Canis lupus familiaris: one gene and its partners. The protein of the gene in region 1 interacts with the protein of each later gene in a pairwise test. Links are inferred from orthologs where the notes say so. Each region holds a gene or a part of one and is shown on either strand. Other genes may lie near its edges.

Region 1 (3,500 bases):
ATATGGCTCTGAAGGCCACTGCTAATATTTGGAGATTTTAATCTAGGTGTCTTGGGAAGCATCGGAGAGCTGAGTGTGGGAGTGACAGGATAGGACTGATTTTGTAGAGTGGCCGTCTAACTGCCTTGTAGAGAGCAGAGGTAGGAAGTCATGTGCGGAGGCAAGGAGGCCAGTTGGGAGGGCTCTCGCAGAGACCGTGCTGGTGGTAGCATGGCTCATGGATGCCATGGAGGTAGTGAGAAATGGATTCCAAAAAGAGCATGTTGAAGAAAGTGAGAAAATCTTCTGGCCCAAATAGCTGCATAAATTGTGCCATTCCTAGAGACTGGAAGAGGATGGAAACCTGGAAAGGGCAGGTTTGACAAGGAGTAGAGAGAAGTCAAGGATTTGGTTTTAGATATGAAGTTTGAAGTTTGAATATTTGAAAATATTCACATGGAGATACCAAGTAGGGAGTTGGTTACACGAGTATGGTGTTCAGAGAAGTTAAAGCCGGGCATGCGGGTTTGGGAATGCATGGCATCAACTCAAGAGGGGAAATGCCTCATAACTCTTGATTTTCTTCTCCACCTGCTCCACAGACTATGGCCTCAGGGCCTGTTAGGCAGATAAACATCCATCACGTTAAGCATCACCTCAAGAGTGGGACAGCCCATGTGCTTCCTATCCTGGTGGACAGAGGACGTAGGGTAAGTCTCCTTGCACTCTTTGCCTCAGGCCGTCCACACCTAAAAGGACAGTAGCACACACTCCTTGGTTCTCCTTGGGAAGAAGGAGAAGATACCACACACACGACAATGAAGAGACTTGTGAACACCTGCAGGAACTCCATGGCCGGAACCCAGGGTAGGGAGTTTTGTGTGTGTGCGTAAGCGACCAAGTTCTCGAAAGTACTCTATGTCTTCTGATTATCATCCTCCGCGGAGCTTGGTACAAGGTTTAGTCAACTACTGCTGCTGACTCGCTGTCTCTTCTTGAAGTATTAATACTTTAATTGGAAGCTGACGTGGTGTGCCGGGTAATTGCAAACGCTTCATACGATAAGGCCTCTAATCGGGCCCCTCCCCTATCAGCTTTCTACTACCTCTAGAGAGATCTAGAAAATCATGTCACTTCCTTTCTTAAACCCTTCCAGGGACATCCCCATGGCCTTGAGGATAAAGTCTGAGCTTCTTAGAGTGGCTAATAAAACTCCGCAGGATCTGGTCCTTGCCTCCCAACCCTGCCTTGCTACGGCTGCTTTTTATAATAGACACCACGCTCCAGGTATTAATGCTTTTCCAGACCACCTTCCAGGGAAATGTTCCTTTGTGGTGTATTGCCTTAAAATGACCCTCCCTGCCTTGTCTACCTAGAGAATTTCTACTGATTCCTCAAAGCCCCAAGTTCAAGATATTTTCCTGTAAAGAATTCCTAGGCCCATGCAAGAAAAATCTCTCCATCTGAAACAACATTATAGTACTAACATATCCTATGGCAATTATTTACAGAAAGTCCATCCCCTGTACTAGATTTGGGCTCCTTCGAGAGAGCAGCCTAAGAGGCCACCATCTCTATGTTCTCTGTACCTGACACCGTGGCTGGCTGAGTAGCAGAAACTTAATACATCTTGGCTAAAGGGAGTGAATAAATGAATTAGAGTACAAGAGCCCACAACAAAGCCTGTCCTAAGAATAAAGATGGCAGCTCATTAAATGTTGGAAAAACATGGTGACCTAGCCAAAGACAACAAGACCCAGGCTAGGGCTTGATGATGCTATGCCAGTCAGGAAAGTGAATTCATTTGAACCAATGTCAGGCTATCGGGAACATCACTTGTATGCCTCTCTTTCTAGGGCCCTTCTGATAGATTCATACTTGAGTTCCCATGGGCTTTCCAAGAAGGCTGGACTTAGCCATTGAGAGGAGGCTCAGCCTTAGCCAATCCCACAGTGGTCTCCATCCACAGGATTCCTGGAGGGCACATGGCACTGCTTCTTATGGGAGTTAGTACCCCTAGGTGTCTTGGAAGTGTCCAGAATGGATGTGAATGACCCCTGGGTCTGCAAATAACAGACTGGGTCCAAGGATGACACAACGCTGCTGATCTTAAGTGACCTTCACCTGGTTAGGTTACAACCCCTACGTGGGCACTCAGATCGGATGGCTGGCAACACTGAGGGAATGGCCGTGGGCCTGAGACACATCTTTTGCTGGAGTAATGTTCCTACCTGGCCCTTCAGTCTTGACTCCTGGGAAGGGGGCCACTGCATGTCACACACGGTCGTCAGAGGGCGGGTAGGTCAGGGTAACGAGCATCCCACTTACGCTGACAGGTGCTAACCAGGATCTTGGCAATGACCCGTGACTCACCTGAATCAGGTGAGCCGCACTTTCTGGGCTGCCGTACCGAAGGTCGTGTCCGTTGATGGCCAACACACGGTCGTTCTCCTCCAGCTGACCGTGTCTGTCCGCCACACCGCCGTCCAACACGTTGAAGATGTACACCCCGGGCTCATCCACCCTACGCACCAGTTTTATTCCCAGCTGCTCCTCGGGGCTGCTCTTGTTGAGAATCACATGAAAGGTGTCACTGCGGGGCCCGTAGGCATCCAGGGCCTGTCCGCTGCTCCGGCTCTGGAACTTCTGCTCACGCAGCACCGTGAGCCGCAGCACCTGGCACGGCTGCCGCAGGAGGTGCAGGGCATAGTTGTGAGGTACGTTGCTGATGTCCATCCCGTTGACCTGGATGGGGAGGCGGACAGTGGGGGGGACCCGAAGCTAGAGCCAATCAGCCAGCCCCACCTGCCACAACAACCCTTCCTGCAAGGCCCGGCCCCACAGCATCAGCAGGACCCCTCCTGAAAGACCCCTCTGGTTTGTCACCTTCTCCTCTGTCCAAATATTCCAAAGACCCCTCCCCGCCCATCTTCCAACAGGACTTCTAACCCCACTTTCCTCCTGTTCCCTGCACCTTCTGCTGGCCTCTCCCTCTTCAGCCTGTCCCTGCACATGCCCCAGGTGTATTTACGCAGTCCCAGCCCTCCTTTATGTTGCTTGCCCAACTTGGTGTTCAGGGAAGGGGCTCGGGGTGGGGAGTGGATAGAAAAAAAGAAAGAAAAAGGAAAAGGCAAAAGAAGAAAATTTCCCATTGAAGGTCAAATGGTTACACGAAAATGCTGTTCAGATTAAACTGAGCTGACACTTTCTTCCCCAAAACCTCCAGGTGAATTTTTCTCCTGGGGTCATCTCTCTGCTGGAACTTCCGGGCCCTGCCACTGCACATGTGTGCGCGTGCAAGCGTGTGTGTGCAGGTATGTGCGTGCATGGGTGCATGTGTGTGGTCTGAAGTTTGTTGCTGCCTATGAGGTCTTTTGCCCATGTTCTCAACAAAAAAGGGAAAAAAAAAATCTCTGTATAGTTTCAAGCAAACTGATAGGCATGAGCTCCCAGGCCCTCTTACTGAAAGGCTGGATCACTTTATTATGCTACTTACACGTCCTCGGGCTCGGCCCTCTAAT
Region 2 (3,173 bases), on another chromosome or scaffold:
ATGTCAGTTCAAGCACCTGAAAGGGGCATTAAAACAATATGCTACGTAGTTAACTGAAGTCTGAACTCAACAGCGCCCCGCGGGCAACAAGACTTAAGGGACAGAATTTCTCTGGCAGTGTTGAGTAAGGAATCCAAAGGCTCAAGAAGATAATAACATTGTATGTGTCCAGATTTATGCCTGTTGTCCTAGTCTAATTATTAACAGTGTCCCCCTTTAACTCTCAAGTGTCCCAGTTTGGGATGGTGTGCCACCTGCTCAGCCACCCCTTACCCATGCCACCCTGGAGGCCCCAGAGGACACTCACTCCTTTTGCCAGGGCTTTAAGAAATGCCTTGGTGAGGAGAGTACCAGAATTCCTAGAAAACCCTGTGGTAGTTGTCCTCTGTAGCCTAGAGATGACAGTGGCGAATACTGGGACTGAACTAAGTTCCCTGACCTCAGGGGGCATAACGGGAGTCAGAGTGAGATTGGAAGAGGCCAATGATAGCACTTAACCATTAAAAGACACTCCTTTCTTTATTTTTGTAGTGCTTGATATTTATTGAAAAGAACGTAAATGCTTTTTTCCAGGTGGTATTGAGGAGCTGGGCTGAGTGCCTGTTTTTGTTTGTTTGTTTTGTTTTTAGTATTTCTGTCCAAATGCACACATCTGTTGGGACTGCTGCAGTTTGGAAAGAAAAAGGACAGCTGTGCAAAACTGGTGCATAGGAGAAAAGAAATGTCAACAATTTGGCTGCCAGGCGCACTAGGCCCCTGCAGCAATCTGGTGGGGAAGGGGAGGACCCTGGGAGTAGGCAGGGAACTAACCAGGTTGAAAGACTGGCCCCTTCAGGGGCTGGTGAGCTGTCCAAATCAATGTCCAAGGACATAGAGCCAACTCAGGCATCTTCTAGGTTGGTCCTTATTTTCAAAGGCTGTGTTCTGTCGCTGGAATGTGGTGGACGGTGGTGAAGTGGCAGCGTAGGTCTCTGGGCAGATGGAGGCCTTGCAGTCGGCAGGGCAGGGCTGTGCGTGGTCTGACCAGTTTGTAACAGGGGCCTGCCCTATAGCTGGGGCTCAGGACACAGTCCAAATCAGCAGGGGAGGGCCCCGGGGCTGGCCAGAGTGGGTGGCGGCGCGCTTCCGAGCGAGGCCCCAGCAGCAGGTAACCGGAACAAAGGCAAGCACTACAGGGGGATGACGGAGAGAACCGGAGAGCTGGGGGTAGGGAAGGGGATGGGAGGGCGGAAGGGCGCTGGGCGGCTCCGGGCCGGGCAGGAGAGGCGGGGGAGAGGATGGCGGCGTGCAGGGCCCTCCCCCCTGGGCCCGAGGGTCTCCCGGCCTAGTAATCATCTTCCTCGTCGTCGTCGTCGTCGTCTTCTTCGTCGTCATCCCAGCCAAAACACTGTTTCATCTCATCGAGGAAGGCCCGGTAATCACCTAGGATGGGGCTATCCATCTCAATGTAGGGCACCACCCACTCCTCGGCTTCCCCGGTGAGCAGGCTGATTAGGAATGCCACCTTCATGGCGTCGTTGCAGAATCGGTTCTCGTTGACGAGCATGTAAGACGCCGTCTGCACGATAAACTCGGGGAGCCGGGAGCTCTCGCCGCTAAACGTTTCGGGGAAGGGCACCGGGCAGCTCGGCGGACGTACCTGGCGCAGCAGGGTGGCCCTCTCGCACACCAGCAGCCGCAGCTGTTCCATGAGCTGGCTGTTCTCGATGCTCAGGGCGCGGTGCCGCATCAGGAGCGCGTGCAGCAGCAGCACCAGCTCGTCCACCATGGCGAACGGCTTGCAAGCGCAGGGCTGGGCTCGGCTCAGGTGCGCACGGAGGCCTCGCAGGAAGTGCGTGTCCGCCGAGGCGCACGGTGGCCAGGGGCGGAGGGCGGTGCGCGCTGGGGTCCGGCTGCTGCGCAAGCTCCGCCCGCACAGCCACTCGGGCGGCCGGCGCGCCGGCGCGGCCCGGGTCGGGGGGCGTGGTCAGGGCGCTGCCGGCGCCGCGAGGGGGCGGGGCCGGGGCGGGGCCGGCGGGCCGGGGGCGGGGCCGGGGGCTCGGTCCAAGGGAGGGGGCGGGCGGGAGCCGGGGGCCCGCGGCCGGAGTTCCCGAGGCCGGCGCCCGGGAAGGGCAGGCTCCCGCGCTAGAGCCCCGGATGTGCGCCCCGGGACCGCCAAAAGCCAGCTCAGAGAGGGCCAACCTGCTCAACTTTAAAGGATCGGTCACGCTCGGACTCAGCCGACTCACACAGTGCGGGGCTCCTTGGTGGGTCTGTGGCTACGAGATTCCACCTGCGCGTTTCGGTGACACACGTCCTCGCTTATTGAAATCCCACTCACCCAGGGAACTGCTGGCGCTGCGGCCTGCCCCGCGGGAGCCACGCATCCTTTCGGAGTTGCGAAAGACCCTTCCTTGGGGCTCCTCTTTGAAAACAAAACAATATCTAAATGGGGTTTTTTTTTCTTTAGTTGGGAAACAATATTGTATACCTACATCCTTTTTTAAAAAGTATTTTTTTCTAAACAGTCAAGTATAAAAACTTCTGCAAAAGCACCACTGGAGAACGATTTGCAGGCTCTCGCCTCTCTTTGACCCTCTGTTTCATGTCCTGTTAATGCCCCTTGGCCCTCGGTCGCATGTTGTTTGTTGCTTAACAATGAACACTTGTGTTTTTAAATGCTTTGGGCTTTCTACTTTGAACTGGATTATTTAAATCGTTGAGTCCAGGACCCTAGAGCTGAAATTTTGTTGGCTCTGCTTTTAAAATATATCCCCAGATCAGTCACTTCTCCCACTATACCACCCTGATCCAGCCTTCCTTATCCCACCCAGACTGCTGCAACTGCTTAGCTTTCACTCTTCTCTTCCTGCAGTACACACAGGAGTCCCTCCTGATCCACGGTTTTGCTCTCCGGTGCTTTCAGTCACCCGTGCCAAGGGTGGTTTGATCCGGAATCAGCTGACCCTCCTTCTGACCTGGCACCAGAAGATCAACCAGTAGCCTGGCGTCGGATCACTACGCATTCTATCATCTCACGTCATCACAAGAAGGGTGAGTACAGGACAGTAAGATACTTTAAGAGATATTTTGAAACTTGCATAATAGTTATGTGTTACAAACATTCTATTTTATCACATGAGCTAGTAATGTCTTAGTGTGCCTAACTTATTTAAATTGTATCAAGTACGTAT
Region 3 (3,500 bases), on another chromosome or scaffold:
CGGCGTCTTCCTCTGCTCCCAGGTCTCGTAGTAGGACCCGAGGGTCCCCCGGAAGGCTAGGCACCTCCAGCTCCTGCCGGCTCCCTGGCATAGTGTCCTCTATTGTCCCTGTGGGGCTGGAGGCCGGCAGCCTATGGACATGACCCCACTCTGCTCCCCCTTTAGGTGTCCCCTCTGCACCAGGTAGGACGCCTCTGTCCTCAGCCTCTGTCCCTATCACCTCCTTCGGAGCTCCCTCGGCCCGCTCCCCTTGTCCCTGGATGCTGGGTGTTGAGTTCTCCAGGCAGAATCCTGTTCTTGGGGCTCCCTGAAGCCCCTCCCCCTCTGGTTCCCACATGCTCTGGGGGGGCCCGAGGCTCCTGGGATCTTCTCTCTTCTTTTCCATGGAGGGACGAAGATGCCTGTGTTGCTGCGACCTGGGGGGTGCAGCTAACCAGTCTTCCCTGGGCGCATCTCGCCGACAGCCGGCGTGGCTAGTGTGCGGCTCCTCTGGCTGGACTCTTGTGGGGTCCGCATGTGCGGCTGAGATCTGCAGAGAAGCCCCCAAAACTCCCTCACAACCAATTCACCAACCAGGTGCGTAGGAGGGGCCACAGACTTTCACCAAGGAACTTGCTAACTCTCAGGGAGTTGAGTCAGGAGATCGGGGTCCAGGCCCAGGAATCGGAATGTTCCCATCGCCCCAGGCGGATCCGGCCGAGCTGTGGTCTGGTCAGGGAGCAGTGGCGTTTCTCCCTGTTCTTTCCTCTCCTCCCTCCCTCCTTCCCCTGCGCCTTCTGCATCGATCTGCCTCCCACGAAGTTCTTCCCACCGTCTGCTCTGACCCTGCCCCCTGAACTTCTCTGTGTTTCAGTTTTCTTGTCTGTAAAATGGGAATAATAGCGTCTGCCTCGTAGGGTTGTGGTGAAAGCTTAGAGACCCACAGCAGCCAAGAGTCACCTCTCTCAGGCAGCCTTCTCTGTGCTCCCATGTTCTTCTGTGCACACCCGCATCACCGCGCTTGACAGGTTGTATTGTGACGGACTCCCCCTTCTGGTCGGAGGCTGTGTCCTCATGGTTTCTGTACCTGGTGCCTGGAAGCTGATGGGGTGCAAAGCGAGACTGGGGACCGGCAAGAGCCACAAGCCACCACTTGGAGAGCATGTGGCCAGGGGCCGTGCTCTGTGCTACATGAGGTCTGTCTCAAAGCATCCTCACGACCACTTGCCAGGGGGGACAAGTACCTTGCCAGGGACCTTTGTTATTAGGGGCAGAACTGGGATTTGAACCCAGAAACCTGGCTCTTCAGTTGCTTCCTGAACTGAACTGAGATGTTTGCAAATTGTCACATGGAGGCTGTTCCCTGGTGTGCATCCTACATGCTTCTGGTTACCCTCCCCCTGCCCCCTTTCCCTGGGTTCCCTGGCTCCCGTGTAGGGTGCCAATGGTCCCCTTCTCTCCCCAATACCCTCACCACCTCGGGAATATGAGCCCTTCCTTCTCCTGTGGCTTCCCAGTCCTCAGGTCTACACGCTGGCGTCTGTCTGTCTGCTTGTGACTGCTCATCCTTGGGGGGCCCAACAGAGATGGAGAGGAGGCAACTCAGAGTGAAGTTGGGCAGAGGTACCTGCTTCGGGGCATCTTTGGTCTTTCTGGGTCTTCTTCCCTGGGTCCTGGCGCTGGAGCCACAGGACCTGCAGTGAAAAGGGGGGCCGGGGGGGCTCTCTCCGGCAGTGGCCTTGGTGCTCAGCTGCAGGACATCCCATCTTTCCAACCCCCCATTCACGGTGCTACCCCTCCCACCTTCCGCCCTCATCCTCGTGGATGCATGCCCCTCTCCATCCACGCACGCACCCCGCCAGCCACTCATGCTGACACCCGCCATGGGTTCATCTTTCTGACCCTCCAACAACTCCTTAGGAGTGTGTCCTGTATGCAGCACCACGCAACTTGGCGGGATTACACTGGGCAAACAGATGCCTGGGGAGGTGGGGAACCGGGGCCTCGGACCGCAAGAAGGGGAGGTGAACTGATGGGACCAGAGGCCGAATTTGGAGCTCACTGGTGGGTGGGTGGTGGTCAACGGCAGTGAGGCACTGGAGACAGGCTTCCCTCCACGCTGGACCCACTCACTCTGAGAACATGGGCCAGGCTTCGTCTAGGTTTGGCCACTGCAGGTCCAAGTCAAAGGCCACCGCATTGAGAGTGTAGAGAGCGTCCAGGAGGTCTTCCCGGAGTTCGGGGCACACCAGAGGGCTCCGGGGGCCATACCATTCCCTGTGTTAATAGTGAGCAGCAGCCTTGGCCTTTGGCCTTGGTGCTATTGCTCCCCCCACCACCCCGAGAATCTGCCTCCGCTGTGCACGACGTGGCATGGTTCCCAAGGCAAGGGTGTGGCCCTCGGGGAGCAGGAGGCTTCAGCATCATGGTGCTACGGGGACTCCTGTGTTCTGGCCGCCCCCCTTGCTCTTTCTTCCTTGATTTTTCCCTCATGGCTCTCATTTTAGTTGCTCTTGATAGTCACCCTCCATCTGGGGCAGGGGGGCGGGGAGAGAGGCATCTTGCACAAGGGAGGGACAGTGGGCTCCAAGGGTGTCAGGAGGAGCACGTCCCAACAGCCCCACCTGGTGAGCTCTGTGTTCAGGAGGCAGAGCTGCAGGGACTCGGCCAGCTGTCCCTGAGCCAAGCAGAAGCGGATGAGAGTGCGGCCTTTTGCCAGAGGAGTCTTCAGCTGCAAGGTGCACAGGGGGCGAATGGTGAGGGGCCGGGGGCTGGGGGGCACTCAGCCAGCACAGACAGACGATATGGGAACTTGTATCATCATGGGAGGAAAGGGGTGGCCGGAGGGATGCTGAGGGCAGGGCTAATGAGATGTGAGGACCAGGTGAGGGGTCTGTGGTCTGCGGGGCAGGGATGGGTGAGAAAGGGGCCCCCGGAGGCCATTCCCCACAAAGGGCCGATGACAGGACCCCCTGATGCTGAGGCCAGCCACCCTACCACCTGGCTCTGGACACCTTGTCCTGTGAGTGAACGAAGTGGACGGGCTCCGTGCCACCCCGCTGCCGCCACAGGGCGGTGCAGAGGAAGTCCCAGTAATCCTTCCGAGGCCTCAGGAAGCTCTTCTGCTCTTTCTGGTCAAACTGGGAGCGAGATGAGGGACAGGAAAGCATAGAGATGTTTCCTCCCAGAAGCGGCCTTGCCTTCCAGCACGCTGAGAGAGGAAAGGGCTACAGTAGACGGGCCTGGCTCCGCCCTGACGGGCTGTGTGACCACGAGCAAGGTGCTGGACCTCTCTGAGCCTTTGGTGTTCCATTCAATCGTTCCAATAGTACTTGTTGAGCACTTGCTTTGTGCCAGACTTTGTTCCGTGCCCTGGGAATTCAGCGATGAACAAACTGACCTCCTGGGCATGTACTTGGTAGTGGAGTTAGCGAACACACTGAGTCAGTAAAACATCTGTTATGTTAGACAGCGCTGCCTGCCAAGGAGAATAAAGCAGGGAACGAGAATAGAAAGTTCGT
Region 4 (4,084 bases), on another chromosome or scaffold:
TAAACCACTGAGCCACCCGGGCTGCCCGACGTACTGTTAACTTAAGTGACATGTCTTTTTTAAAAAGTGCGTGCTTCTCTATATTATGCTTCCTTTTTTTTTTTTTTTTTACCTCAATTAATTTTACATCAGGACTCATCTTTGTAATCCCTTCATCTGGACTTGGATTACTTCTCGCTGGTGGTACGAATTTTAGTTTTTTGAGGGGATTCCCCTGCAACTGACTTGGCGCTGCAGACCGTCTCATATTCAGCAGTACCGACCTAAAAAATACCCAAAACACAGATCATCCATGCATCTGATAGAATTAACTCCAAATAGGAAAACAGTTCATCGCTACAACCGTATCTTTAAAAATACAGTAAGAGACTAAATATGCCAAAAAGCCTTAAAATATAAGTTTAACAGCCAGTAAGATTTTATTTTCATCACAAAGGGCTCCTGTAAGGAATCGAGGACTTAAGCAGGATGCCGTAAACGTGAGCCCGCGTGTTGGAGAATGCGAGGGGGGCCCGGGTCCCCGAGGCCTCCAGGGCGCCAGCAGTACCCCTCTGCGCAGGAGGAGCCGACGGCCAGCCGCCGCCCCGCTGACCCCGCCCTCCGCCTTCCACCCCCCCAGCAGCGGGCCCCGCCGGGACCCCGGGACCCCCGTGGCTCCTGACCGCGCCGCCCACGGTGCCCACGCACGGGGGGGGGGGGGGGGGGGCCCCGACCCTGCCAGCCCCGCGGGCCAACTCGGGAGGCCCCGGCAAACAGCCCAGCACCGGGCGGGCCCCACAGGGAGGCCCCGCAGGGAGACCCCCGGCCCGCGGTCGCCCCTCCCTGGGGCCTGCGCACCGCCAAGACCCTGCTGCCACCCGACCCCCCCGACCCCGACACCCTCACTCTTCAGCCCCGGCCCCAGCTCGCCCCCGACCCCCCCCCCCACCCGATGCTCCTGGCACCGGACCGCACACTCCAACTCCGGCCCCGACACTGCCTTGACCCCCACCGGCCGCGCCCCGCCTCCAGACCCCGACCCCGTCCCCATCCTCCGACGCCGCAACCCCCCCCCCCCCCCCCCCCCCCCCCCCCGCCCCGTGCACTTTAGCTCTGATCCGGACCCCGACCCCCATCCCTCCCGAACCCAACCCTGCCCGCCTCGCATTCCGCTCCGACCCCCACTCCGACTCCCACCGCCCGCACACATGAGCTCCGCCCCGACCGACCCGCCCGCCCCACACTTTAGCTCCACCCCCGACCCCGACCCCGACCCCCCCCCACCTCCGCAGACTTCAGCTCCGCCCCACCCTCCCCCTTAGCTCCATCCCGACCCCGCCCCCGCATCTTATATCCGCCCCAACCCGCATCCGCATTTAGCTCCTCCCCCACTCGGCCCCCGCCCTATTCAGCTCCGTCCCCCCGCCCCTGCCCCATCCCTCCCGCCCCCGCCCCCTTTAGCTCCGCCCCCACTCAGCCCCTCACTCTAGCCCGCCCCCACCCTCCCCTCATACTCTAGCCCCGCCCCCCTCTCCCCCTCACATTCTAGCTCCGCCCCCCTCTCCCCCTCACACTCTAGCCCCGCCCCCACTCGGCCCCTCACTCTAGCCCCGCCCCCACTCTCCCCCTCACACTCTAGCTCCGCCCCCTCTCCCCCTCACATTCTAGCTCCGCCCCCCTCTCCCCCCTCACTCTAGCTCCGCCCCCTCTCCCCCTCACACTCTAGCTCCGCCCCCACTCGGCCCCTCACTTTAGCTCCGCCCCTCTCCCCCTCACACTCTAGCTCCGCCCCCACCCGCCCCTCACTTTAGCTCCGCCCCCACTCGGCCCCTCACTCTAGTTCCGCCCCCTCTCCCCCTCACACTCTAGCTCCGCCCCCCTCACTCTAGCTCCGCCCCCACTCTCCCCTCACACTCTAGCTCCGCCCCCACTCGGCCCCTCACTCTAGCTCCGCCCCCACCCGCCCTCACTCTAGCTCCGCCCCCACTCTCCCCTCACACTCTAGCTCCGCCCCCACTCGGCCCCTCACTCTAGCTCCGCCCCCACCCGCCCTCACTCTAGCTCCGCCCCCACTCTCCCCTCACACTCTAGCTCCGCCCCCACTCGGCCCCTCACTCTAGCTCCGCCCCCACCCGCCCTCACTCTAGCTCCGCCCCCACTCGGCCCTTCACACTTAGCTCCGCCCTCTCTCCCCCTCACTCTAGCTCCGCCCTCACCCTCCCCTCACACTCTAGCCCCGCCCCCTCTCCCCCTCACACTCTAGCTCCGCCCCCACTCGGCCCCTCACTCTAGCCCCGCCCCCACTCTCCCCCTCACACTCTAGCTCCGCCCCCTCTCCCCCTCACATTCTAGCTCCGCCCTCTCTCCCCCTCACTCTAGCTCCGCCCTCACCCTCCCCTCACACTCTAGCTCCGCCCCCTCTCCCCCTCACACTCTAGCTCCGCCCCCACTCGGCCCCTCACTCTAGCTCCGCCCCCTCCCCCTCACACTCTAGCTCCGCCCCCACTCGGCCCCGCCCCTTCCCTTTCGGCTCCGTCCCCCGTCGCTCCGCACCCCTCCCCTCCCCTCCCCCCGCCGCTCCGCCGCCTTCCTTCCCTCCGCCCCCGCAGGCCCCCTTCGGCGCCCCTCCCCACGCCGTCCCGCACAGGCCGCCGCAGCCCCCCAAGCCGCCCCCTCCGAGGACGTACGGGCGAAGATCCCACAGAAGCCGCGCGTCCCAGCAAGACAGCCGGCGCCCGAGGTCCCGTCACCTCCCGGAGGTTAAGGCTCCCGCCTCGGAGCAGCCTATAGCGGGCGAGCCGGCCGCGCACGCGCACTGCCCTCCACCGGCTCCGCTCGCACGACCTCGACTGCGCATGCGCGGGTCTCTGCGCGGCCCCGTAAGCGCCTGCGGTCCGGGTCCGAGGTGTGGTCCTGCTCCGAAATATCTACTTGGAAAAAATATTTCTTTCCTTGTTGATGGCCTCCTGTCACCCGCTGTAGGAGCTGAGGATACAGACCTCATCTTAGAGCAGATCACACAGCTTAAATCTGGAACGTCGACACAGGTGTGTTCGCTGCAGGTGGATGGTCTGTGCTTGGAGAAACGGTATGCAGACGTCCTTGCCCGCGCAGCTCCTAAATCGTGCAGCACGTTAGGAATGAAGTGACTTTAGCAGTGTTGCTAAAATAATACAGGCCCTTAAATTGCCTGGCACAAATCGGCAAACTAACAATGGCCTGATACCCTTTAATATAGTGACAAGGCAAGGAAATAGACAGGTCCTAGGCCTTTAATGCAAAAGTATCTCCAGGGGCACCTGGGTGGCTCAGTTGGTTAAGCCTCCTCTTGGTTTCAGCTCCTGGCATTGAGGCCTCTGAGTTCCAGGCTCACCCACTCATGCTTGCTCTGCCTCTCAAAGAAATAAAATCTATATTTTTTTAAAAGTATCTCCAAACCGGGATCCCTGGGTGGCGCAGCGGTTTGGCGCCTGCCTTTGGCCCAGGGCGTGATCCTGGAGACCCGGGATCAAATCCCACGTCGGGCTCCCGGTGCATGGAGTCTGCTTCTCCCTCTGCCTGTGTCTCTGCCTCTCTCTCTCTCTGTAACTATCATGAATAAATAAAAAAAAAAAAAAAGTATCTCCAAACCGTGTCACTGTATGATCTATCAGAATACTCCAGTTTAAACAAAACACTTAGAAATGCGTGAACAGGGGCATCTGGGTGGCTCAGTCGGTTGCACACTGGACTCTTGATGTCAGCTTAGGTCTTGATCTCAGGGTTATGAGGTCAAACCCCACATTGGGCATGTTGGGTGTGCAGCCTACTTAAAATAAGTGAATACAATTTTCATCATTCAGCATGATTTTCAAAAGCCGTTAGTTCTAGGGGTGCCTGGGTGGCTCAGATGGTTAAGCATCTCATTCATGATTACAGCTCAGGCCATGGTCTCAGGGTTGAGAGATCAAACCCCATGTTGAAGGCTAAGCACCAGGCTATTTTTAAGACTCTCTCCTCTCTCTACTTCTTCCCGATTATACTCTCTCTCAAAAACAAAAAAAGCCATTTACTCTAAAACAGATGTGAAAATTACAGAAGACTAAGTTTTACCAAACTGTACTAG
Region 5 (4,116 bases), about 15 Mb from region 1:
AGACATCGTGTCGATCTGATAAGAGTGCAAGTGTTAGACAGGAACTGGGCATCATGTACCGTAAGGAGCCTCGGAAACTTGCACACACTCCACGAAAACATAAGGTATTGCATTCACCGCGGACCATCACCACTGTACAAGTTAGTGCCGGAACGCTAATGCATTGAAGTTCAGAATAAACTCTGAAAAAAAAAGAGTTTCTTTGCAAGGCAAAGAGTCAAAACTGTAGCTAAATAAGACTAAAAATGCTTTACTATAGCCAATAACAAGATGGTAATCAGATTCAAAATCAAAGCTTTCTAATTAACCCTTCAAATTCAGACTTGAGACACTTAAAAATGCTCTTGTAATTCTGAAGTTACATAATTGAGCACGATTAGTATTTTAAATGATAGGGCTTTGCATTCTGGATATCAGCTTATAATTTAAGGGCAAAACATTTCAGTCTGAAGTAATCTAAATTAACAGTAAAGAGAGCATCCACCTAGCACCTTTTCCTTCTTTCATAGAACTGTTCAATGTGAAAAATGCATTTCTTACCCAAATCACATTTTTTATGGAAAAGTAAGGTAATCAGATTTAACATCTAAAAAAAAAAATACTAAATGGCAACATTGTCCAATATCTGTTCTAAGTAACTAGAGGCCATTAATGCTAGGAGAAACATAGAAACCAAAGGAATGTTTAACGTGTTAGCAACACAGTACTATGGCAATATGGCACAGAGGAAAAAAAAAAATTCTAAGTTTCAAAATAAGATAACTCATCACACTTTTAAGCTGTTTCCTTAACTGAATACAACATAACTTTGTCAGCTTCTTTATTAAAAAACAACGCACTTGATTCCACAATCTAGAATACTGCTAATGCCACTGATCTCACACAACGTACAAAGAAATTTCTTTCACAGAAATGACAGCCCAGCAGGCAACAAAAGATATATGTAAATCATGAAGAGCAAGGAGTACAAACCTAACTGCAGAACTGTTCAGAAGAGCATGGGAACAAAGCTCAAAATTCTTTTTCTCTGATTTAAGAATGTAAGCCCATTACTTTTTCACAAGCCCACTTTATTAAAGAAATTAAAAAAAAAAAAAAAGCCTGCAATTGAAATGGGAAAGCTCTGTAAACAGATTTCTGCTCAACCATTCAAACAGCATGCACGCTTCAAATTCTTGGAGACACCGAGCCTCTCCGCTACCACCATCAGCGGACAACACACCCTACTCCGAAGAACTGGCTGGAACAGCCGAATGCTGGAGGCTGCTGTTTTAAAAAATAGATATCTATATACAGATAGAATATGTCTGCCTCATCTTTCACTTCCAACAATAAAAGAGCCAGAGCCAGCATTGAGATCAGCAGAGCCGATTTAACTCGGGAACCACAAACTGTCACTGCACTGAGTGATTCAGGCAAAAGGTAACAGATCTGACCAGATAATGTTTCTGCCATCACCCAGAGAGGGGAAACACACACACACACACACACACACACACACACACACACACACACAAAACAGACCAGTGGCCCCCAAACCCATCTTGATCCGAAACACGGATTAACGGATACAGAAGGAAGTGAGGACTGCTCCTGGGAAGGGAGGCTTGATTTACCATCCATCCCAGATTACTCAGGAGGCTGGAGGAAGAGAACGAGCCAGGAAATCCTGTCCCGGGCAGGCACGCCTCCATAGGTCCCTGGATCCCCGGCGCCCCGTACTTTGCAGGACTGTTCACACCCTGAACCGGCGGGGGCAGCGCTGAAATGGCACAGGCAGCAAAGACTCCTTGCCCGGTCTTCCCGATCCCTAAGCGGCCAGCCCCCAGGGAGGGCGACCCCCCTCCCCCGGAGCCTCCCAAAGAGAAGCCAAGCAAGCCAAGAAGGGGGCAACTGCGTGGGCCTCTTCTCTCCCACCAACCCCTCCGAGGGCCAGCTTGCCAGCCTCGGCAGGAGCTGCCCGGCCCCGGGGAGGGCGGACCACCTGCCAGGGTGGCTCCAGCCTCGGCGTGGGGGGAGGAGGAGGAGGAGGAGGAGGAGGAGGAGGAGGAGAGCAGAGGAGCCGGGCTCGGCCACGCGGACCGCGGGGTCCCTCTACTCCGAGATGCCCTGACCCCAAACCTCCCCCACAAGGTCCTCAAACTTCACCAACAATCCAAGCACCTGTTCCCTTCTTCACCTCGTGTGCATTTCATCCCCTCACATCCTTCCATTTTGCTCCAGCTCTTTCCTCTCCAGTTCCCTGGACAACTCGAGCGCGCTATAGGGTCCCCGAGTCCCTCACAAACTCCCCTCCAATGAGATCCTTCAACCCCCGCCCCCCGCGCCCCGCGCCCCGGCCAAGCCCTCGGACGCGGGCCGACGCGCACCCGCAAGCGCCCCTCGGGTCCCCTCGCGTCCCCGGGGGGCTTCAAGCCGCATCCGAGCGCCCCAGCCTGTGCGCCCCCCGCCCGCGCCGGCCCCCCAAGGGCGCATGGGCTCCCGCCCCCGCAGGCGCCCCACGTCGCCCCAGGTCCCCACCCAGCCGCCCCCAGCTCGCCCCCGGGGCCCCCGCCCGCCCCAGGTCGGCCCCCCGAGCGCCGCGCTTCCCTCCCCGCCCCCGCCCCCCGCGCACCCCAACGGCCCCGGGCGACGGTTGGGGCCGGCCGGCGTGCGCCCTCACCTTGGTTCACCAGCCGCAGAGCGTGCGTGAAGGAGGGGTCCAGGGAGTCCTTCTCCGCCATCAGCTCCGGCAGGTACTTCTCCTCCATGCTCGCCGGCCGCCGGGCCCCCGCACCCCCCGACCCCGCCCGCGCCCCAGCGGCGCGCAACCCGGGCCCGGCGCGGCGGCCGGGGCGCGGCGGAGCCAAGCCGGGAGGTCGGCCCGGAGGCGGCGGCAGGGGGACGCGCGGGCAAGGGGTGGGGGCCGGTCCCGGGTGGCCCCCGCCGCCCCGCAGCGGGCCGAGCAGCAGCGGCGCGGGCCCTGGGCGAGCCTGCAGCGCTCCCGGGCGAGCCCCGCTCCGCCGCCACCCGCTCGCCGCGCGCCGCCCCGCGCTCTCCCCGAGCCCGGCCCGCGCCCCGCCCGCCGCGCCTGCGCCTGCGCGCCCCGCCCCGCCCCCGCCCCCGCCCCCGCCCCCGCCCCCGCCTCGGGGGGCCCCGCAAGGGCGTCCCGGCGCCTCCCGCGGTGCGCGCGCCCCGCTCCGGCCCCCCGGGCGCGATCGGGAAACTGAGGCCCGGGGGAGCGGGCGCGCGGCCCGCCCAAGGTCAGCCGCGGGGGTGCCCGGGGAGAGGTCGGGGAGGGCGGCCGGGGCTCGCCCCACGCGGCTCCCGGGACCCCCCTAACCCATCCCCGCTGTGCGCACCGAGCTGGGGGGCGCGCCCAGGTGCGGGACCGTCGCGCGACGGCGCGTGCCCTTCAGGGCGGCTTCGTCACCTGCTGGTCTCCCTCCCCTCCCACAACCCATAACCGCCGCGCCCGGGGAGGAGGACAGCCTGGCCCGAGCTCGTGGGGAGAGTCCCCCGTGGGGAGAGTCCCCCAGGGGCACGTGCGAGCCATAGCCTCTGCCCCTTACCCCCCTTCCCCTGCGCGCGTGGAGTAAATGCCCCCCAAGCCCCCCGCCCCCATCCCCCAGCAGGCCAAGGACTCTGAGCCTGTCCTGCCTCGCTGTCCTGGCCCCAGTGTCACCTTCCCCACCCCACCCCACCGCACCCCCACAGCTTTCCAAGACTTCCCCTGCACAGTGGTCAGTGCAGCATGCTCCCCCTCCCCACCCCTGCGCCAGGTCCCTCCCGGTTCACAGGTGTAATTCTGTAGGTTCATGACACCAGGAGCATCTCAGGGGCAGAGCTAGGGGCTGGGGGGACCTGGTGACTTTGGGACAAGTGTGAGGGCACCAGAGATGTTTCTTGAAGGAACAAACCGGGGGAAGGCCAACTGCCTGGAGCAGACCCTTCCTCTGGAGCGCAGGAAGTCCTCCACAGCCAGAGATGCTGAGAGTGGAAACCAAGGAGCACCAACCGGCTCTAAGTCCCAGCCCCCAGGACCCACTGCCCTCAAGCACAAGCACCCCATCTCCCTCCCCCGCCCCAGACTGCTGAGGCTCCCAGCTAAGTGCCATTCCAGAGTTCCCAGTAAGA
Region 6 (4,119 bases), on another chromosome or scaffold:
ACCTATCTCCAAAGATGATTTTCAAAATACTTATCAGCATAGCACACACCCTAAGCAATCAGAACAGAGGCAGACTGTATCCCTGGATAACTTCTCAACTTCAACTCTAACTTCCTAGGCTTGCGTTTCTGCTTTCTTCCTGGCCTCAGATGATTTTTCCTGATTTCCTCACAAGTTTATCTACGTATTGAAAAGGGTGCTTTCAATATCTCTCCTCTTATTTTAATATATTTTGTTGCTGTCATATTTGAAGAGTCCTCGGTTTCGTTAGAAATAAAGTCTGAGGGACGCCTGGGTGACTCAACGGTTGAGCGTCTGCCTTCGGCTCAGGGCGTGATCCCAGGATCCAGGATGGAGTCCCACATTGGGCTCCTTGCAGGGGGTCTGCTCCTTCCTCTGCCTGTCTCTGCCTTTCTCTCTCTCTCTCTGCCTCTCATGAATAAATGGATAAAATTAAAAAAAAAAAATCTGAGTAAGAAATGTTAGGCACATGTAATAAAATATCCAGAGGTAAGCTAGAACTGTAGTTTAATGTCACATGAGACCTAGGCTCTTTCAATCTTTCCATTTTGCCAACCTTAGCATTTGCTTGTCCCATCATAGGCACGTGATGGGGACTGAACTTCCAACCTTCAAGTCTGCTTAGGGGAAGGAAGAGAATAAAAGTGGCAAAGCACTTGAGCATACTCAACTAGAAGTCCTACTGGACTTTCTTTTCTTTTCTTTTTTTGTTTTTTTGTTTTTGTTTGTTTTTTCTTTTCTTTTTTTTTTTTAAGTATTATGGGCTAGAAAAAAAATAAAAATAAAAAAGTATTATGGGCTAGGAGTTGGTCACATGACTATGCTTTGTCTAACCACTTGGCTCATGAGATTACTGTGAATAGTTTGGACTAACCATGAGGCATTCCTCCTAGTAGCAGTGAAGATCTACCTCCCCTGAGATCAAAGGGTCTCTTCTGGGACCTGAACAAAATGAGGTTTTTCTTAGAGGGACCCAGCACAGCGCCTGGCACAGATGGAACTGTTCCTGTCCTTGTACATTCCCTGAGCATCCACTACGTGCCAAAGGCCCTCGGAGACAAAAATGGATTCGACACGGCCTCTGCTAGGCAGCATGAGAGAGATCAAGTCTGAAAAGGGGTTAGGACTCGGTGTCAGCTCCCTCATTCCCAGCACCGGCCTCACCCGGAGTCCCTGAAGACAACTGACCCGCGCCAGGTTGCACTGCGCAGGAGTAGGGCGGCAGCAGCGCGCTCCCCTCACGCCCCGCCCCGCAGGAGAGTCCCGCATGCGCACAGCGTTTTCTCTCTGACGCACCCCCGGAAGCACTGGCAGTTTCGGGGGCGGAACCGGGAAGCGTTTCCGGGGGCGGGAGGTGCAGGCTGAGGCGGTCGCGGCGGCTACGGCTTGAACGGGCCTGTCGCTGGCGGCGGAAAGTGTCCCGCGGGCGGGTTATGTGAACGCGGAGCCCTTAGCAGGTACGGCGAAGTCGGGACGACAGGTAGCGAGGGGACAGGGAGGGCAGCCGGGGAGGTTTAAGGGCTTCCTCCGCAGGTCCCGGCGCGCGCGCGCCCCCCGGCCCGGCAGGCCCGTTCCGCAGACCGGGATGCTCAAGAAGCCGCGCTCGGGCGGTTGGAGTCCCCGCGCCCGAGGCCGACTCCTGCGGCCTCCAGCCAGCCCGGTGCGCGGGCCGCGACACCCAAGGCCCCCGAAGCAGCGTCTCGCCCAAGGTCACCCCGCGGCGGCGGACCTCGGCGGGCCGGAGCGCTTAGAGATCCCGCCTGGGAACGTCCGCCGGCCTTTCGGGGGCGCCGTGTGGGTGCGGCGAGGCGGCCTCGGGTTTGAGCCGAAGCCGGGAGACAGGCAGCACCCGGCCTTGGCTGGTGCCTGCCTCCGTTTGCTTCTAAGTAGTGTTTCCCCTCTGTTGACGTCTCTGTCACCTGTTGTCACCTGCCCTTTCTGCCTCTGAACTCCGCCACTATCGACTTTGTATTTCTCCCCAGTTTCTCTTGCTGAGCACACATCTCTATCTGCACCCCCCCCCCTTTTTTTTTTTTCTTCTTCTGTCTCTACTTTGCTTATGTGACTCTTGACCCTGTGTTTCCCTCTCAGTCCTCACTCTCATTCATGGCCTGCCTGCCTGCCTGTCAGCCTTGCTCTTTGGCCGTCTGTGTTTCTGCCAGTTTTGTGTCTTTCTCTCTTGTTTGTGCGTCTCCTAACTAGGTTTGTCTGGGCGGAGCAGGGCAGGCTTGCCCGGACCTCTGAGCCATGCAAAATGACTCATGACCCCGTGAAGCTTCCTGCAACTGGTGACAGTCTCAGTGACTACACTGCAGTCTGGCCTCAACTCTGACAGGTGCCGCCCAGCCCAAGTGTGCCGGTGCAGGAACGCCTCGTGGGAGACAAACCAGAGACCATCTCAGGGCCAGAGTATCTTGATACATACTTGTCTTTTTTTTTTTTTTTTATGCATGGCTTTCTGGCCTGCACAACCCTCCACTTCCCTTTGCTCCAGCCCCTTACCCCAGGATGGCCTCCGGGGCTCTCAAGAGCCTGCTCTTTGCGTTACAGCTGCTGAACTAGACCTGTCCACAGGCTAAGGAATAGTCAGTCTAAGATTCTCTGCCTCATGGGGCTCATGGAATAGCAGGATTTCTGAGAAAGCTGTATGCATAGTTCAGAGATTGTGTCAGTATCTACAGTTAAATGATAAGAAACCTAATAATTTGGGATTCATTCTTTTCTTTACTAAAGTACTCACCGGAGAAGTAAACCAGACACAAAAGAACAAATATCTTATGAGGCCACTCATGTGAGGTATCTAAAATAGGCAAATTCATAGGGACGTACGTAGAATATAGCTTATCAGGGCCTGACAGGAAGAGATGGAGCATTATTGTTTAACGAATACAGAGTTTTAGTTTGGGATGATGAAAACAGTTCTGGAAATGGATAGTGGTGATGGTTGCACAATGCTGTGAATGTGCTTAATGCCACTAATTGTACACTTTAAAATGGCAAATTTTATGTGAAGTGTATTTTACCACAGTACAGAATAAAACCAAACAACCAAACAACCCAAACTGCTCTTTGGAGAAGCTTGGAACTAAGCAGCTCTTTGAAAATGTGATTTTAAAAATTTATTTTGTGTGTCTTTGGAATATTTAGTTGAACCTACGTTTGTTGATACCTGCTTTTGTCATAGCTAATGTCCTCAGAAAAGGAGTTCAGTTAAAAGAATTTGCTTAAAATCTTCCCTTAAGCTTTCTACTTGTGGCAAATTCCTGCCCTGGCTCTTCTCCCTCCATGTTCTTGGATTCAGTGTAGGCATCTGCTGCAGACCCATGGGAAATTTGAGGAAAGATTTTACTTTTTACATAAAGAAAACTTTAGGGTTGGAAAAATAGCCCTGTTATTATGATAATGCAAAATTATGTGTCATTTCCTGTGTGTTTTCTGATGGGGGAGGCCTTTATGTTACGTTCTCTTATTTAAGCTATCAGGTTGCCAGTATGGTAGTTTTTCAAGCTTTCTTGTGAGATATTGCAGCTGAATTAATACTGTATTGAATCCTAATACCATTGATTGTTTTCTGTACCACCAAAGGAGAAAAAAACACCGTCAATTTAGCTATGACATGTGCTTTTTTAATCATTTAGGCTTATAAAAATTCTTAGTGAGAAAATATTTTTAGACTTATTTAGACATTTTTAAATGACATCATTCTAATGCTAAATAAAAAGAAAAATAAGTGAAATAAATTGGCTAAAGTGTTTGTTAAATTTTTAACATTCCTACTCTTTTTGAATACTTCTCAGTTCAGAGTTGGGTCCATACTTTTCCAGTGTCCTCTTTTGTGCCTTCAGAAACACTGATGTGGCTCTCAGGAATGCTCTATCATTGTCTCAGGCAGTGACAAGCATTAAAATTTCCACTTGGCCATCATATCCTGATTGCAGAAATTTTGAAATATGCCTCTTAAAATCAGTCGAATGTACTCTACGTTTTTATGAACTTTTATTTTTTCCCTTTTTTTTTTTTTATGATAGTCACACAGAGAGAGAGAGAGAGAGAGAGAGAGAGGCAGGGACACAGGCAGAGGGAGAAGCAGGCTCCATG
Region 7 (3,954 bases), on another chromosome or scaffold:
TGCAACAACGCCACTGGTAATAAAGCTTTGGAATGGGTGTTCATTCTATTATTTGACTACAAACAGGATAGAAAGCAAGATCAGTTGAGAACTTAATCTAAAATAGAATGGAAGCTGTCATCGTCTGCACCGGCACACGCCTTACTCCTCTGCTGCCATTTTTAGCAAGTACTCCTTGTCGATCTTGAAGAGTCTCCATCCCTCTTCGCTGGACAGGTCAGAAGCACCTCTTCTTTTGTAGAAGTTGATAGATGGTTCATTCCATTCTGCTACCAAGAAGTGCATGCTGCTGCAGCGACATTTCATCGCAACCTATTATAAGGGAGAGTAAAACAAACTCAGTGACATTTCACCTGCTTTCCAAGACCCAAATCTGTTCCAGTCATTAAAATAATTCAGTAACCCTTACAAATCTGGAAACCAAACCCCCTGCCCCTCCCCCCAAACCAAGACGTACCTGGCTTAGGTTCTTCAGAATTTCTGATCCTATGCCAAAGCCTAAAAGAAAGAGAAGTACCATTTAAAAAGTCATCTTCAGGATGTTAAGTCCTGGTTTCTCTTTAGGGCATCTCCTCCTAAACTCAGCCATACCTCTATAATCACTCATTACGAAGAAGTCCTCAAGATACAACAGTTTGCCAATCCATGGATCATAGGTAAAGTAGTACATGGCAAAACCCACAACACTGTGTCCTGTAATAAGAATATCACATGAGATGTGAACGAAAAGCAACCCATAAAAGTTGTAGCTGCAAAATCAGAAGCCTATCATAGGTTTTAGAAAATAAACATGCATGTATTATAGAAGTAAGTAGGCACTGAAACGGGACTGTCTCCTGATTTTTATGCTAGTGCAGTCCAGGCCACTTTTGGATGATCTCACTGTTCTCAGGACATGTATTTGCAAAAAGCACACATTAGAGCTAGCTGAAGCGAGGCTAAAATCATGGGACTGGCCACTCTGCGATCTGCTGGATCTCACACCCCAGGAAGTGAGACTTTCATTACTTGCCAGAGCAAAACTGCTGTAGTCTTAAACTAAACACACACATTATTCACATCCTATTGATATATTGGTATGTTGACTTGGGAATAAGTCGGGTTTACACGGCAGTTCAGAATAGTAAATATTTGTAGATTAGAAACTCTGCTTCCTTAAGGTCAGGACATCAGGCCATCAAAAGTGTAACGTTTAATTTCAGAACTTGCCTTCCAATTCAGATTTTCAATTTGCTCTCCCCAGTTTTAAGCCAGAAGAAGCAGAGGTACCCAGAAATAGCTCTTATGTAACATCCACATACCTCCAAAAAGTACCTCATCCCTTATGTTTTCCGTTCATTTCTTCTAGCTTGGGGAAGAGACTTAAGAAAAAAGTGAAGCACCCACCCAAACAACTTCCCCTTTTAGCTCTGTCTTCTGACCAGTCAACAGGGACCAGCAAAAAAAAAAAAAATAAAACAATCTGACTCCCTATAAAAATAGGGTGTCTATAATTTCAAATGGAGGCAAAGGTTTCAAATTAAACTTTCTAGCCATTTTATAGTCCTTTGCAAACACAGGAAGAGAGTACACTGGAGTTTCTGATCTACCGTGTTTTAAGTGTGTGATAATAGGACCTTACCTCATTTATCATGATCATCTACTTTATTGTGTAAAGGATCTTTTAGTTACCTCCCCGCCCATCCATGTACACGGAAGGGCCATGTACATGGCGAAGCTAGAGACTGTAACCTGAAGATTGGGACAAATTAAAGAAAAAAATGTGATTTAACACAATTACAAAAAAGGTTACGTTAGGGTCAAACAAGAACTGAATTACAATAAATGACATTATACCTAACCCTTCCAGGTCTCCACAGCATTCTGATACTTACTTAAACAGCTCTTTCAACCCGCCCTATTATTATGTGCAGGACATCTATTTTCTTTTTCCTCAGTAGTTTGAACACTGGCTATTATTTCTGGCCAATTTCTCAGTAACTTTGGCCTGCGTTGTCAGTGGTTCTACACAACAGACACTCTATGTTTTATACAACACTTGGTGTTTGGCTTCTGGAAGCGGGGGGGGGGGGGGGGGGGGGGGGGGGGCGGCGTTACCTTCCGGAGACTGGTGCTCCTTGGGCACTTCTGCAACCAGGCAGTGGTAGAAAGGGTGCTCTCCGAAACCATCCTCTAGTAGATCTGCAAGAAGGGGCATCGGGGACAGTGATGGCCTCGGTGAAGATGCCAAGTACCAGACACCCTTCCCCCGCCCTGGTACAGTCGCGTTACCTTTTTCAGTTAACATTACTTGCTCTTCCATGTATTCGTATTTAGCCAGTTCCTGGGGCGATGCACACGGGAGAAAGGGAGAGAGGGAGAAAACTAAGTGAGGCCCTGGCCCAGGCAGCTCAGAGGGAACGGGGTGGGCGGGGCGGCGATTCGTTCCCAGAATCGAGCGGCCCGGCTGAAGCTGGGGGGAGCGGGCGGACAAAGGGGAACCCGCCGGAGCGGCTCCCCACTTTCCCCCTCCCCAGGGGCGGCCCGGGCCTCCCGCTACCTTGATCAGCCGCAGGATGTCACTGCAGTCGGCGGCGGTGGCCGGGCGGATCACGAATTTAGCCATTTTCGTCTTTTGCTTTTCTTCCCTTTGCGGACCAGGCCCCTGTACTTGAACAGTAGTAGGAGGTGGTTCCTCATTCGTCTCCCCGGAGCGTCCTCTTCCCAGTCAGGCTGGCACCATGACCCGGCGGACCTCGGCGAGCAACGAGCACGTCGGCCAGACTGCGACCAGAACGGCGCGCTTTAGCGGCCGCCGGGTCCCGCTTTTTAGGGCCAAGTAGCCCCGCCTCCGGGCGTGAGGCGGAGGCAGCTCGTCCAATGAGGCCGCGACCGCCCCCCTCTTCCGGGCGCCTCCCCCTCTTCCGGGCTTCCGTGTGAACCCGGCGGGCGCAGGCGCGGGCGCGGGCGGGGGCGCGGGCGGGGGCGCGGGAGGGGCGAGGCGCGCCGCGGGCTTCTCTCGGGGCGCCCTCTCGCGGCGCCTCTCGACGCCTTCCCGGAAACCCGACTTTCTAGCTTGTGCGTCACCCGGTCACCTTTGCGAAAGGAAAAGAGTAGTTCCTCTTGTGAACCCGGGCCGGTGACCTTGCCGTTTCTCCCTTGGCCGGAGGGGAGTGGAACTCAGGAGAACCTGCCTTGGGCAACGTGAGGATGAGAGCAGCGGTTCTCTAAAGTGTGCTGTGGGGGACCCTGCAGATCCCAGGGTCCTTTCAGGGAGTCTGTGTCAAAACGAGTTTCATAATAATAGTGAGGCGTCACTGCCCCTTTTCATTCTTGTGGGAATTTTCCAGAGGCGACCTGATGTGTGTGTGTGAAGTCACTGCTCTGATGACTAACGTAATGCGTGCTTGTATATTCTTGTGTTTTCTACAGTTTCCTAAGGTAAACTATTTGGATTCCTCAATAATTTTTCTCTCATACTTGTAATTTTTAGAGTTAGCACAGCGTTCTTTCCTAATTTTCTTTCCTTCTTATTCTTTGTTAAATCTCTGACCTTCCTTGTGGAAACGCTCTCCTGCCTGACGGGCACTTTTCACAATTTCCTTCAGTACAGAAAAACTTTCTGCGTTGGTTGTCTAAATATGTCTTCAATTCATCTTGAAGGATTTCTTTCACTGTTTATAGAGTTTGGGGTTGGATGTTATTTTCTTTCAGTGTAGTGGTGATGTCAGGTTACCTTCTGGCTTCCATCGCTGTTGAAAGTTGATGTAATCCCTACTTGCTCCATTCTCTGTGCTGCTTTCCCCCCCTTTTCTTTAACTTTTCATTTTCAAATGATCACAGATTTACAGAATGTGTGATGACATTGCTCTGGTGACTAAAGGGATGTGTGCTTGTGTATTCTTATGTTTCATAGAATTTTCAAAGATACGCTTTTTGGATTCTTCAGTAATTTTTAAATGTCCTGAGAACAAA

What was found.
Region 2: the proteins of LNX1 (region 1) and LDOC1 interact in a two-hybrid assay, tested with the Homo sapiens proteins (2 studies listed by BioGRID and IntAct). The link is inferred for Canis lupus familiaris from reciprocal best matches to the Homo sapiens genes LNX1 and LDOC1.
Region 3: the proteins of LNX1 (region 1) and RUFY4 interact in binary tests that used the Homo sapiens proteins (3 or more experiments, as listed by UniProt). The two-hybrid records come from large-scale screens. The link is inferred for Canis lupus familiaris from reciprocal best matches to the Homo sapiens genes LNX1 and RUFY4.
Region 4: the proteins of LNX1 (region 1) and RAD54B interact in binary tests that used the Homo sapiens proteins (3 or more experiments, as listed by UniProt). The two-hybrid records come from large-scale screens. The link is inferred for Canis lupus familiaris from reciprocal best matches to the Homo sapiens genes LNX1 and RAD54B.
Region 5: the proteins of LNX1 (region 1) and KHDRBS3 interact in a two-hybrid assay, tested with the Homo sapiens proteins (2 studies listed by BioGRID and IntAct). The link is inferred for Canis lupus familiaris from reciprocal best matches to the Homo sapiens genes LNX1 and KHDRBS3.
Region 6: the proteins of LNX1 (region 1) and ZBTB43 interact in binary tests that used the Homo sapiens proteins (3 or more experiments, as listed by UniProt). The link is inferred for Canis lupus familiaris from reciprocal best matches to the Homo sapiens genes LNX1 and ZBTB43.
Region 7: the proteins of LNX1 (region 1) and SAT1 interact in binary tests that used the Homo sapiens proteins (3 or more experiments, as listed by UniProt). The link is inferred for Canis lupus familiaris from reciprocal best matches to the Homo sapiens genes LNX1 and SAT1.

Annotation. Positions count from the first base shown.
Region 1 is NC_049234.1:46,797,172-46,800,671, forward strand, and holds part of LNX1 (E3 ubiquitin-protein ligase LNX), read right to left. Parts: intron 2,725-3,500; coding exon 2,353-2,724; intron 1-2,352.
Region 2 is NC_049260.1:112,048,995-112,052,167, reverse strand, and holds LDOC1 (protein LDOC1), read right to left. Parts: upstream 1,916-3,173; 5' UTR 1,769-1,915; coding exon 1,325-1,768; 3' UTR 501-1,324; downstream 1-500. UniProt on the Homo sapiens protein: May have an important role in the development and/or progression of some cancers.
Region 3 is NC_049258.1:24,687,349-24,690,848, reverse strand, and holds part of RUFY4 (RUN and FYVE domain-containing protein 4), read right to left. Parts: intron 3,120-3,500; coding exon 2,994-3,119; intron 2,711-2,993; coding exon 2,604-2,710; intron 2,257-2,603; coding exon 2,113-2,256; intron 1,674-2,112; coding exon 1,607-1,673; intron 1,081-1,606; coding exon 940-1,080; intron 530-939; coding exon 1-529. UniProt on the Homo sapiens protein: ARL8 effector that promotes the coupling of endolysosomes to dynein-dynactin for retrograde transport along microtubules. Acts by binding both GTP-bound ARL8 and dynein-dynactin.
Region 4 is NC_049250.1:39,848,663-39,852,746, forward strand, and holds the start of RAD54B (DNA repair and recombination protein RAD54B), read right to left. Parts: upstream 2,801-4,084; 5' UTR 2,667-2,800; intron 986-2,666; exon of another isoform or gene 929-985; intron 264-928; 5' UTR 248-263; coding exon 113-247; intron 1-112. UniProt on the Homo sapiens protein: Involved in DNA repair and mitotic recombination. May play an active role in recombination processes in concert with other members of the RAD52 epistasis group.
Region 5 is NC_049234.1:31,933,112-31,937,227, reverse strand, and holds the start of KHDRBS3 (KH domain-containing, RNA-binding, signal transduction-associated protein 3), read right to left. Parts: upstream 2,801-4,116; 5' UTR 2,751-2,800; coding exon 2,663-2,750; exon of another isoform or gene 2,598-2,662; intron 1,746-2,597; exon of another isoform or gene 1,617-1,745; intron 1-1,616. UniProt on the Homo sapiens protein: RNA-binding protein that plays a role in the regulation of alternative splicing and influences mRNA splice site selection and exon inclusion. Binds preferentially to the 5'-[AU]UAAA-3' motif in vitro.
Region 6 is NC_049230.1:56,548,418-56,552,536, reverse strand, and holds the start of ZBTB43 (zinc finger and BTB domain-containing protein 43), read left to right. Parts: upstream 1-1,319; 5' UTR 1,320-1,478; exon of another isoform or gene 1,479-1,501; intron 1,502-1,821; exon of another isoform or gene 1,822-2,430; intron 2,431-4,119. UniProt on the Homo sapiens protein: May be involved in transcriptional regulation.
Region 7 is NC_049260.1:19,543,611-19,547,564, reverse strand, and holds the start of SAT1 (diamine acetyltransferase 1), read right to left. Parts: upstream 2,801-3,954; 5' UTR 2,606-2,800; coding exon 2,540-2,605; intron 2,324-2,539; coding exon 2,272-2,323; intron 2,182-2,271; coding exon 2,098-2,181; intron 694-2,097; coding exon 592-693; intron 499-591; coding exon 458-498; intron 313-457; coding exon 142-312; 3' UTR 1-141. UniProt on the Homo sapiens protein: Enzyme which catalyzes the acetylation of polyamines. Substrate specificity: norspermidine = spermidine >> spermine > N(1)-acetylspermine. This highly regulated enzyme allows a fine attenuation of the intracellular concentration of polyamines.